Linked DNA regions of Macaca mulatta. The main gene of each other region encodes a partner of the protein of the gene in region 2 in a complex. Links are inferred from orthologs where the notes say so. Each region holds a gene or a part of one and is shown on either strand. Other genes may lie near its edges.

What was found.
Region 1: NSMCE4A (region 2) and NSMCE3 share a complex: the UniProt entries of both Homo sapiens proteins name them as parts of the SMC5-SMC6 complex. The link is inferred for Macaca mulatta from reciprocal best matches to the Homo sapiens genes NSMCE4A and NSMCE3.
Region 3: NSMCE4A (region 2) and NSMCE2 share a complex: the UniProt entries of both Homo sapiens proteins name them as parts of the SMC5-SMC6 complex. The link is inferred for Macaca mulatta from reciprocal best matches to the Homo sapiens genes NSMCE4A and NSMCE2.

The regions. Positions count from the first base shown.
Region 1 is NC_133412.1:9,161,137-9,164,760, reverse strand, and holds NSMCE3 (non-structural maintenance of chromosomes element 3 homolog), read right to left. Parts: upstream 2,163-3,624; 5' UTR 2,069-2,162; coding exon 1,169-2,068; 3' UTR 561-1,168; downstream 1-560. UniProt on the Homo sapiens protein: Component of the SMC5-SMC6 complex, a complex involved in repair of DNA double-strand breaks by homologous recombination. The complex may promote sister chromatid homologous recombination by recruiting the SMC1-SMC3 cohesin complex to double-strand breaks.
Region 2 is NC_133414.1:134,048,957-134,052,605, forward strand, and holds part of NSMCE4A (non-structural maintenance of chromosomes element 4 homolog A), read right to left. Parts: intron 2,439-3,649; coding exon 2,287-2,438; intron 16-2,286; coding exon 1-15. UniProt on the Homo sapiens protein: Component of the SMC5-SMC6 complex, a complex involved in DNA double-strand breaks by homologous recombination. The complex may promote sister chromatid homologous recombination by recruiting the SMC1-SMC3 cohesin complex to double-strand breaks.
Region 3 is NC_133413.1:135,525,398-135,529,809, forward strand, and holds the start of NSMCE2 (E3 SUMO-protein ligase NSE2), read left to right. Parts: upstream 1-1,552; 5' UTR 1,553-1,590; exon of another isoform or gene 1,591-1,648; intron 1,649-4,412. UniProt on the Homo sapiens protein: E3 SUMO-protein ligase component of the SMC5-SMC6 complex, a complex involved in DNA double-strand break repair by homologous recombination. Is not be required for the stability of the complex.

The sequences.
Region 1 (3,624 bases), on a different chromosome or scaffold from region 2:
ACTTATTTCCCCATACAATAGAGTCAGACTAGTGGAATATACCTTTTGAACCAGTAATTGCTCTCCTAGGAATCATTTGGAAAACAAGATAAAGAAAAGTTGTATTTAAAAAGTGGCAGCTCCAGACCGAGAATAAAAAATAAAAACATTAAAGAATAACAAGCAAATTCCTCCACATCAGGGACTAAACCCATTTTACAGGTCAAGAAACATCTGCATACAAACTAAGGAACCTACGTAAATTCCTATACTAGTGACGGTGGGGCCAGGATCTGAACCCAGGCAGTCTGATTCCCAAGCAGGCATGGTTAATGGTTACGCTATTGTTTTATAAGCCTTTTTGGTATCCACAGTAGAAATATATTTTACCTCATGATCCTGTACACACACACACAAAAGTAAAACAACTTCTACAAAACAACATTGACCTCAATATGTTGCAAAAACTTTAAGACGCTGATTTCGTCATGAAATTGTCTCATGGCCCACGATTTAAAACACACACAATGCTTCAGTGCTTCAAAAATACAGTATTTATTGTAATAACTAGAGTAGCATGTAAAAAAAACTAAGTGGAACTGCATGTTTAGCAACACAGCTGAGTAATTATGAATATAAACAATTGCTATTTGGAGAAAATACACCACGTTCATTGCTTGGAACCATGAATAATACTTACATATGTAGGAAATATAGAAAAAATAAAATAGGTTAAGGTAATAAGGATATAGGCAATTACGTTTTTATTTTTAATTTTATAAAGACTTTTATTTTTCCTTACAAACTGGGATGCTTAAGAGACCCGATAATAGCTACTTTTTTATTTTCTTGGCACCAAAGCAACTTACTTATGTGTTCCTTCTGGCATATCTGTTTCAGATCATAGTCAAGTTTTCCAATTCGTTTTACTAAGCTAGGAAAATTTTTTATACCAAAAAAAGTAAAATCAAAGCAAAACAAATGCTCTTTTGTTTATAGATGAAAATCTGGAACCAAATAACACAACATTAAAAGAACAAAACTTTGCAAACACATCCTAAAGCTACACACATTGAAACGCTACAGAAATACGCTTCCTGGGTTCGTTCTCCCTTCCCCCGCTCCTCTGCACTGTGCCTTTGGGTCTCAGACCCTTGTCCCGGGGGTCCCTCTGAATCCACCTCAGATTTCAAGAGGATGGGGCTGAGCCACTGGGCTGAGGTCTGGCCCTGTTCTCCTCATCTGCCAACGCCTCACAGTACTGCGCTGGCCAGTCCTTGGGGTCTTGATTATGGACTTTGGCCACAAACTTAAGAACTTTCATCTTGCTGGTTTCCAGGTTGGTTCGCGGGCCCCACTGGAACTCGTAGTCCACGGGGTCGGTGTGGGGTATCCGCCGGTATTCCAGGTAACGTTGTCGCACAAAGTCCTCGGTAATGAGTTTCTTTGGATCTCCGAAAATGAAATGCTTCTTGGTGGGGTAGACCCCTAAGCGCCGCAGAAAGTCCCAGACTTCAGTCTCCTTGACGGTGTTGCCCTTCATAAAGATGAGCCCCAGGACGATCATCAGGAGGCCCGTAGTGGGCGTGCCTTGGTCACCCCTCACCTCGGCATCCTCCTCCACCGGCTCCAGGGTGTTGATGAGGATATAAGTGTTGCTCTTGGGTTCAAGTTCCACCAGCTTATAACCGAAGACGTACTGGAGGCGCTCGGCGGCCCGTTTGAGGAGGTCGGGGAAGATGTCCTTGTAGTCCCCGATGACGTGCTTCAGTATGTCGGCCCGCTTGATCGGAATCTTCTTCTGGTCCTTAATCAGTAAGAACTGCACCAGCTCGGACACTTTCAGCTCCTGCTGCTTCTGGGTCCTGGGGCCCACGGCGGGGGAGGCCTGGGACCGGCGGGCGCCCTGCGACCCCTGCGAGCCGCCCGGCCCCCGGGAAGTGCTCGGGGCCTCCTCTGCGAAGCCGTCTCTGCGGGCCCGGGCGTGTTCGCCCGCCCGCGAGGCCCCGGAGTTTCCGCCACGGCTCCAGTCGCTGTCCCTCTCGGCCTGGCCGCCAGAGCGACCCCGGTTCCTCGGTTTTTGCAACATGTCACCGGCGACGCGTACCGGTGCACACTCCGGCAAGCAAGCAGCCGCGGCTGGGATCGTGGGTCGGCGACCCGCTAAGGCCGCTGCCTGGGCGGGGCCCCAGAAGGGGCGCGCAGTGTCGGCTGAGACTGCGTGCCGCGTCATGAAGCCTGCGCCTTGCGTCACGGCGGCTGGGCGGTGCGCCTGCGCGGCTGCGGGGCTGGGGGTACCAAAAGCATCAGATATTTCTGTGCAGCCCTGCAGGTCTGGTCGGTGAATTTCAGTATATCGAAGTGTTGTTCTTACTAAACCATGCAAGCAGAGAACGAGAACCGAAACTCCTAAACAAGTGTGTCGCTAAATTCAGGACCAGACAGGCTCAGGCAAGTTTTACAGACGGTATTATGAGTTTCTAATTCTAAATCGGGAGCATTTGTAAATGAAAAGATCTCACAGGATGAATGTGTGAGAAAGAAAAAAAAAAGGTGAAGAGGAAGGTACGACCGTGGAAGTAAAAGCATTTATTTCTACACAACATGTAGAAGGATATAAAAAACCCAGAGGGCTCTTAGTTTTCGTCCCTCCGCTCAATTTTATACCCTCCAACCCACTGCCCCCAGTTACTTTCTCTAATGCCCCGTGGAGTTTGTTAAAAACAAAAGTCTGCTGCAGGCTTTCCGCGCAAGCAGGACTTCGGTTTCACTATTTCCGTATGTGTATTCTCTGCATTAAACTCCTTTAGCTAGACAACTATGAGAAAACCCCACAAAACTTGTCAATATTAAGTAAATGTTTTAGCTTGGTCAAATGAGTTTATCCTTTGGAAAACAACTGTCTTCGGCTCACAGCCACAATTTTAGCAGAAATGCGTAAGAGGAATGCTGCAAACGTGCACTCTCAAGAGATTACCACTTAATTTTGGGCATCACTGATCAAGAATTGCAATAATGTGGATCTCTTAAATTTCTTAATTCATAATATATTAGCTTTGAGAAAGAAAAGAGAACACAAGGGTATTTATCCCTCATCTATGATGTGTGCAGTCTATGTATATTTTAATTGTGCAACTCAAGTAGCCAAAATGAGTCATTTCATTAACTCAAACCATCAGCAATCTGCTGCCATTACTTCTATAGATCTTAGCAAATTTGTTTCTTCTCTATTTATTGACTTGCAAAGAAGAAACTGAATTTCCCTGTGTCTTTTTAAAGCTACCCAGAAAGTGGATAAACTCTTCAAAGAACCAAATCGAGTTCCTCTTTAATGCAAATATATTCAAAGGAAAGCAATTTAGAACACATTATCTGAATAATAGCATCAAACACAACCTTATTAAAATTTTGTTAAATGTTAGTAGCATAACACATTTGTTTGTAATTCAGTAGGAAAATGCAATCTGATAATGGCACTGGAACTGCTATAGTAAATGTAAAATCATATTCCATGAACTAATGCAAGTATGCTAAAATCTGATACGCAGTGAGTAATAACTTACTGTTCCACACAAGATACAACTATATCCTCAGGCATCAAGCTTAATGACAAAGGCCTACTACGAAAAACAAATATATTATCAA
Region 2 (3,649 bases):
TATATGGAACCCAACCTGATGAAAAATATGCTTTCATGTATTTTTTTGCCTGTTGTTTGTTAAACAAACTAATTTTACTAAAAGCAGTTTGCATGATATAGTCAAATTCAGACCAGACATTAGTGATATACAAGCTGACATCAGACTAAGACTCTTAGTAAGGTTTGTGACAGCCTTTCTGCCTTCTTTGTATTTCTAAAGTAACTCCTAGGAGCTTTACTCAACCACTGATACCTCCTCAGACACCTTCATACTGCCCTGTACAGCAGGCCAGTGAATGTGCCTGTGACCTCTTCCCACCACCCAACCTATTATCTGTTTTGCAAAGCCAACTTCTAAAAGAGCAGGGGAAGGATGAGTAGGCATGTGGGGAAGCTCCAGTGGGGTCAGAAGCCTTTGATCTGGGGAGGCCAAGGCAGAGGCTCCCAGCCCAGGACTACGAACACATCTGTCTTAGAGTAACAGGGCAAGTCACAGCCATGGGACTCCTTTTCCTTCTGGATTCTGCCCTCATGCAGACTTGGGCTGCAGTAATAGATGTAAGTCTGCATCATGTAGAGATCAAAGCCCCAAGAATAAGGCTCATGTGGTCCCTACACTTGAGGAGACGGAAGTATACGATGTAGATGGACAGCTACGTTATACACACAGATCCATTTCAGCATCACATGGTGGGTTACTCTGGGCACACTCCTGCTCCACAAGGAGCAGTATCAAAAAATAAATTAATCAAATTTAAAAAAAGTAACATGGTAGATCCTGGGTGCTTAGAGAGTACTGCTCAAGTGCTGTGAGAACACCTGGGCAGAGATATCTACCCAGACATGGGAGTGGCGTGGTTGGGAAATCTGATCCTACACTGCTAACACCTCTGTCTGGAGAAGTTGCTGGAGGCTTCCAAGATGGGGCCCTGCTGGATAAACAAACTTTACCGAATGGGAAAGATGAAAAGGAATTGGAGGCCAAGAGAACAGCAAGTACAAAGACACAGTTTTAAGTACTTCATTGTGGCTGGAAATTGGGCTGGATGATGAGATAAAGTTTAAGGCTTTATCTTTATAACCTCGGATATATGAGTTTAGTACGATAGCAAAAAACAAAGATTTAGACTTTATCGTAAGATAAAGAAGTTTCGTCGGTATCCTATTAAATAGAACATACACAAATGGCTCTGGGCACCTGAGTTACCTGAAGTCTTACTAAAAATAGATGCCAGATCCCACACCACACTACTACATTAGCATCTCCAAGGCCTTCTACCCGAGCCATTACCAATCTCAAAGGTTTTTAAAAAGACAAATTAGAAAAGACAAATGCCCAGGAGCTATACCACTTAAAGGAGGACTGAACAACTCAGATGGCTACCCCTAGAGAAAGTATCTACTGGGCAACAAAACCAATATACTTGAAGGTCCTCTAGAGAAGAGCCAGTAAGAGCTGTTCTTAGTTTCTCCATAGGACCATGCCAGGAAGTTAAGACAGAAGCCAACTTCATTCGAATATGAAGAAATCTTTTTTTAAAATCAGAGTTCCATCTAAAAAATGAACGGGGCAGTTTATGTGGCAGTGACAAGTAATCTTCAAATACAAGTCAGTGGTCATCCAACAGGGTATTATAATAAATGTCATTTTAGACATTAGGAGACCCTAAGATACCCTCAGTAGGAGGTATCATCCTCCTATATGGTAAGGATTTTAAAGATGATAAACCCAGAGCCTCATGAGCTAGAAGCAAAGGAGCCAGGAGAGAGCACTGGTAAAGAGGTTCTGGCCTTTTCTGCTAAAGCAGAATGAGAGATCCTTTAAGGTTCCACCCACATCTAGAGTTTATGGACTTTTCTTTTTTTTGAGATAGGGTCTCACTCTGTCACCCAGGCCAGAGTGCAGTGGCACCATCTCAGCTCACTGCAATCTCTGCCTCCCAGGCTCAAGAGATCCTCCCACCTCGGCCTCCCAAATAGCCAGGACCACAGGCATGGGCCACCACAGCGGGCTAATTTTTTGTATTTTTGGTAGAGATGGGTTCTCGCCATGTTGCCCAGGCTGATCTTGAATTCCTGAGCTCAGATGATCTACCTGTATTCACCTCCCAAAGTGCTGGGATTAAAGGCGTGAGCCACCACGCCCGGAGTAGTGTTTATGAACTTTTATATCAAAGTTTCAAGTCTCCAAACAACGGCATCATGACTGTCACCTCTACAATACCAAATAATCTTTATCCCTACAACAAAAAACAATTTAAGGTTCACAAATAGCTGGTCTGTTGGATTTTTAAAATAATCTTACAGAAAGTGGAATGTATGGGTTTTATTAAAGGTGTTTTCTGCTGTTTTGCCTGATATTTTCCAGGAGTCATAGACGATGAATTCAAAATCAGGACTATCTTCATCACGGATAAGTTCTTCAGCTTCTAGCGGATTTACACCCATATGTGTGAGCTACAAAAATGAAGGAAAACAAAAAACCCAGTTAAGCCACACGCAATCATTGTCCACATCCAATAATCTGCATCACTCAACCTTTAAGAGGCCAGACGCAAAGCCTGCTTTCAGTGTCTTAATATGTTGGCTAAATTTCTTATTGTAAAGATAACTTTACAGTTAAAGTCCTCTTTTCAAAGCTACCTTCTTTTTGGCAGAAAATATTCCTCAATGTACTTAAAACCTTTGGGTGAGAAAGTGAAATGATTTAGACTAGTGGTTCTCAACCTGGGTATACTTACCCACAGGGGCTTTTGGCAATACCTGGAGATATTTTTGGGTGTCACAACTGATATGCTGCTGGCATCTACTGGGTAGAGGCCACGGAGGCTGCTGAATATCATACAATGCACAGTACCGGCCCCCAAAACAAAGACATGCCCAGCTCCAAATGTCAATCAATAGTGTCAGTGCTGAGAAACCCTACTCTAGCCCACTGGCAGGCAGAGTGATTTAGGTACGCCGGAACTCAGCCCCCTGGGAATTTCTGTATCGCCAATAGTTCATGTATTAGTAAAGCTGCACTAGCATACAAATATAAAATTAAATCCCAAATCAAAAGCTTCACGACAGCACCAGCAAGTTCAGCTGGTGTTCAGATTTTAATTTTTTGCAAACGTCCTACAAATCTCTATTCAGCTTGTATCGCGGTATATCCAGAGAGCAGTGGCCCGGCATTACTGAGAGAATGGCTCATCTTAAAATTCCCTTCCTGGGAAGAGTAGACGGAAGTCAAATAATTCTCTCATCTCAAACTGTCTTACAGAAAATGTGTTATATTGAATTTACTTTTATGAAAGTCCATTTTTATTACATTATACTGTAAAATGCCTAGAAGTTATCCAGTTATGATGGCAACATCATATATAAACAATAATCACAAGACCCTTGGGGAGCTTAACCCTATTAAAGGCAACCAGACTTTAAAGAAAGACTACAAGAGCCTGCTCTTCTCTGTTCCCTTGCCGCCCGTCCTACCACGGCACCCTTGTAGGTGGATGTGGCAGTTTTGGTCTGTTTAACTGACAGAGAGATCCACCAATCTTCCCTTACAGTGTCTATATTTGATGTTATACATAAGAAAGTCTTCTCCGCCCAGAGACTTGACAACTATTAATTTAAGGTTTTATATTTAATGCTTTAAGACTTCTAGAATTTATTTTAGAATA
Region 3 (4,412 bases), on a different chromosome or scaffold from region 2:
AATGCCTAATCAAGTTGCAGCTAAGAGGTATGTGGATGGCTTTACAAAGTGTTAAGACTCAGTTAAGTCTTAAAAAACCACTTTAGAATTAGGTCCAATTAAACTCTGTAGAAGAAGCTATGGTAAATTATCCTTTCAGAGGTTCTCTTCGTGCTAGGGATTAAGAAAACTTGAAGATCAGCTCTCTCAATACAGGCTGTATTACTATCGGCATGAAATCCAGAGATCCCACTATATTCTCTTATTTTCTTTTACAAGCGCCAGTAACTTCATTTTTAAGAATTTGGCGTGGAACTGTGATTTTCAGTTTGGGAAGTAATCCTAATCAAAAGACATGCTGTCAAGAATGAGGCATGGCATCATTATACCAATTACCCAGAGTGCAGAATAATATTTCTTAAGGAAATCGAATTGTCGTGGACAAACACTGTTTACCCCCTTCAGAGGACAAAAGAAGGTAGGTCTATATTTAGCCTTTCGCAAAACCTCAGTTCCATAAAGGAAGCACTGATCTCCACAAATCCATTATCACAAACAAAATATAATGGTTGTCGGTCAGAATAAATGCAAGCTGCATATGTTTTCCAGAAAAGTTCTGACATGAGGCTGAACCTGAAATCCTGGGAAAGGCAGGTGAAGGACAATTAGAGAAGGTGTCCCTTGTTGTGCACAAAGACAGGAAAACTTCTCCCTCACTACCCTTCACCTATGTTTGAGGGAGCTCCATGCGCTTGCAATCAGGAGACCCAGTTCTACGACTCTGTGACTTTTTTTCTTTTTCCTGTCCGATCATAGAGGAATCAGGGCCTTGGGAACATTTCCCCCCCACGCAAAATGCAAAGGATTTTGGCATTAGCACAGGTGAAGGCATTAAGACGCAGCGAGCAGCAATGACTTGCCCAAACTCACAGCCCATGGCATAACTAGAATGCAAATCCAGGTCCGTCAGGCTGTAAAAGTCCTCACTACTAGCCTTTCAGTTTTCTCAAAAGCAAAGAGAGAAATAACGACGACATCCACACAGCAGTGTTCCCGGAAACTTGGAAGGATGAGATTCGGACCAAGCAGCCAGCTGAACGGTGCTTCCTAAAGCGAGGAAGGAGTGTGCAAAATGTTTTCCCCCTAAGCGGAGACGAAGAGCTGGACTGCAGCCCCCGCCCCAGAAAGCCCCTAAGCCCTCCATCCCGAGTCCCCCGTCCAGGCTGCACGCGACGCTGGAGACCTCCCCAGGGCCAGCGCGGCCCAGCGGGGAGGTGAAGGGGGCCATGCAAAAATGGGGTGCGCTCATCCCATCCCCACTCACCTGTCAGCCGGGCCGCGCCAGCGGCGCACGCGCAGGGCAGGAGGTTGCGCGCGGAGTCGGCACCCAGGTTCCACCCCTCCCTCACGGCGGCGGTCCTCTTCTATCCCCAGTCCCGGACCTGGAACGGGTCAGAGCCCGGCTTCCGCCCCTGACTTCCAGGACGGTCACATGACCGAAGCGGCGGTGAGCAGGGAGGGGCATCATGTGACCACTCGCCGGCGACGGATGATGACGCAAGAGCCCCCGCTCACTTTTCAGCTACAGGCGAAGGGGGCTGAGGAAAGGAGGTGGGTACAAGTAGGGGAAGTTGGGGTGCCACCAGACGGAGACAACTCGGACAACCAGGTAGGGAAGAAGCGGGGGACGGCAATGGGGAAGGTGGCGGGAATTGTCGCCTCCCTCAGGGACACTCCACGGGGACCCCGAGCCGGGAATTCGTCGACCTGGATTATGGTTGTGGCCCTTTTCACGCCACAGTAGTGAGTCTGGGACAGTTTACCCTCCTGTCCGAGGCGCCATCTCTCCATCCGTTAGCCACAAGTGTGTAAGGGCAAGATCACGAATTTTTGATCCAAATAGATGTGGTTTGAACTGACTTTAAAAGTAAGGCCACGGGAAGGTCGTTTGAATAAACTCTCTGGACCTCAGTTTCCTCTTCACTTATGTAGATTGCAGTGAGAATTAGCGATAAGGAGAATGAAGTGCCAGGACACCAGTTTATGGCATTCTGTAGGTGACCGAGAAATGATGATGTCTGTTGTTATTTTTGTAACTCGCCAAATCTTTATTGGTCCCCTATTTTGTGTGAAGAACTGCTTTATATGCAATAGAATATGTCAGGGTTCTAGTTTAAGGAGCTTTCAGTGTAAAGAAGCTGCAGACATGTGAGCAAATAGTTGTGATGAGTTTCATAATGGGAGTGTGTTGTGTACATGTGCATGTGATAGGAATAATGGTAGCATGAGGGAGGGAACAAGCAATTGTATGAGAAGGATTCAGAGAGAAGGGTATATCCTTGCATGCTGAAAAAGGAGAGGCAGCTCTGGCTGACTTGTACAAGGTTCCCGTGGATTTAAAGGAAGTCAGCATATTGTCTATAAATAACATGCAGAGAAAAAACTCAGGAAATGCACAACTTGTTCTAAACTTTCTTGGAGATCATAGGTATTGGGAAGAAAAGATCAGTGTTATTACATGGGAAGGGATCCAAGAGAGATTGATTTAAATCAGTTATTCTCAACTGATGCGCTATTGACATTTTAGGCCAGATAATTTTTTCCTGTGGGGTGGGGGTGAGGGCTGTCCTGTGTATTGTAGGACGTTTGAGAGTATCCCTGGCCTCTGCCCACTAGATGCCAACCATAATGTCTACAGATATTGCTACATGTCCCTTGGGAGAGGGGTAAAATCTTTCTTGGTTGAGAACCACTTAAACCAAGCCATGAGAGATGGTGTCTTAGTCAGTGTGGGCTTCTATAACAAAATGCCATAAACTAGGTAGTTTACGAACAACGGAAATTTATTTCTCACAGTTCTGGAGGCTGGAAAGTCCAAGGTCAGGGTGCCAGCAGATTTAGTGTCTGGCAAGGGCCTGTTTCCTGGTTCATAGGTGGCTTTTTGCTGTGTCCTCACACGGTGGAATGGCAAAGCAGCTCTCTGGAGCATCTTCTAAAAGGGCACTAATTTTATTCATGAAAGTGGGCCTAATCGCCTCCCAAAAGGCCCTACCTCCTCATACCATCACCTTAGGAGTTAGGATTTCAACATATAAATTTTGGGTGACACAAACATTCAGACTTTAGCATATGGGTAAGATGTGGGCAGATAGAAAACTGAAGAAAGAGCCTGGTGCGGTGGCTCACACCTGTAATCCCAGCACTTTGGGAGGCCAAGGAGGGCGGATCACTTGAGGTGGGGTGTTTTGAGACTAACCTGGTCAACATAGCGAAACCCTGTCTCTACTAAAAATACAATAAATAAATAAATAAATAAATAAATAAAATAACCAGTGTGTTCTGGCGCACACCTGTAATCCCGGCTACTCAGGAGGCTGAGGCAGGAGAATCCCTTGAACCCAGGAAGCAGAGGTTGAGGTGAGCCGAGATCATGCCACTGCACTCCAGCTTGGACGACAGAGCGAAACTCTGTCTCAAAAAATAAATAAATAAAAAGAAAGAAAACTGAAGAGATGGTTTTCTCACGGTGGGAGCAGGATGAACAAAGTCCTTTCTTCCTTTTTGGAGACAGCGTCTCACTCTTATTGCCCAGGCTAGAGTGCAGTAGCATGATCATAGCTTACTGCAGCCTTGGACTCCTGGACCCAAGGGGTCCTCCCACCTCAGCCTCCCAAGGGGCTAGGACAATAAGTGCAAGCCACCATGTCTGTGTTGTTTGTTTTTTTTTTTTTGAGATGGGGTCTCGCTGTGTTGCCCAGGCTAGTCTTGAGCTCCTGGCCTCAAGCAGTCTTCCTGCCTTGCCCTTTCAAAGTGCTGGGATTATAGGCATGAGCCACCGCGCCCAGCCTGGACAAAGTCTGGAGGTGAGTTCAAGAATATTGAGTATGAAGGGGAGAAGGAAACACGAGAGCTGTGCATCTGACCGAAGCAGTTTATTCATTTATTGATAGTTTCAGAGCACTTGCTGTTTATGAAGCACTGCGAACATCTTGCAAGATAGTCACTAACAAAGTAGAGTTACTGCCAAAGGCTATAATTATATCAAAGAGGGTGCTGTTAGAGTCAGAGAAAGGAGTTGTCTTTGACTTGTACTTAGCTGTATTTATTGGGAGGAATTGAGAAAAGTATATCTATTCCATCTTTCTGCACCATCCATTGTCTTTGCTTTTCAATTCAGTCTGTCTTAATCTTTTCCCTACTCCAGAATTACAGAAAAGCATGGTCATGTTTTCCTTGGTCCTCTGCAAGAGTGAAGTTTCACTCAAGTAATGTGAGTTTTGCATTCAACCAAGTAGTGACAACTACTGTTTGGTATATACTTTCCATTTATACTGGATTGCATTAATCTTCATAGATATTGTGTCTTTGTTCAAGCTACCATAACAAAATACCATAGACTGGGTGGCTTAAACAACAGAAATTCTGGAGGCCAG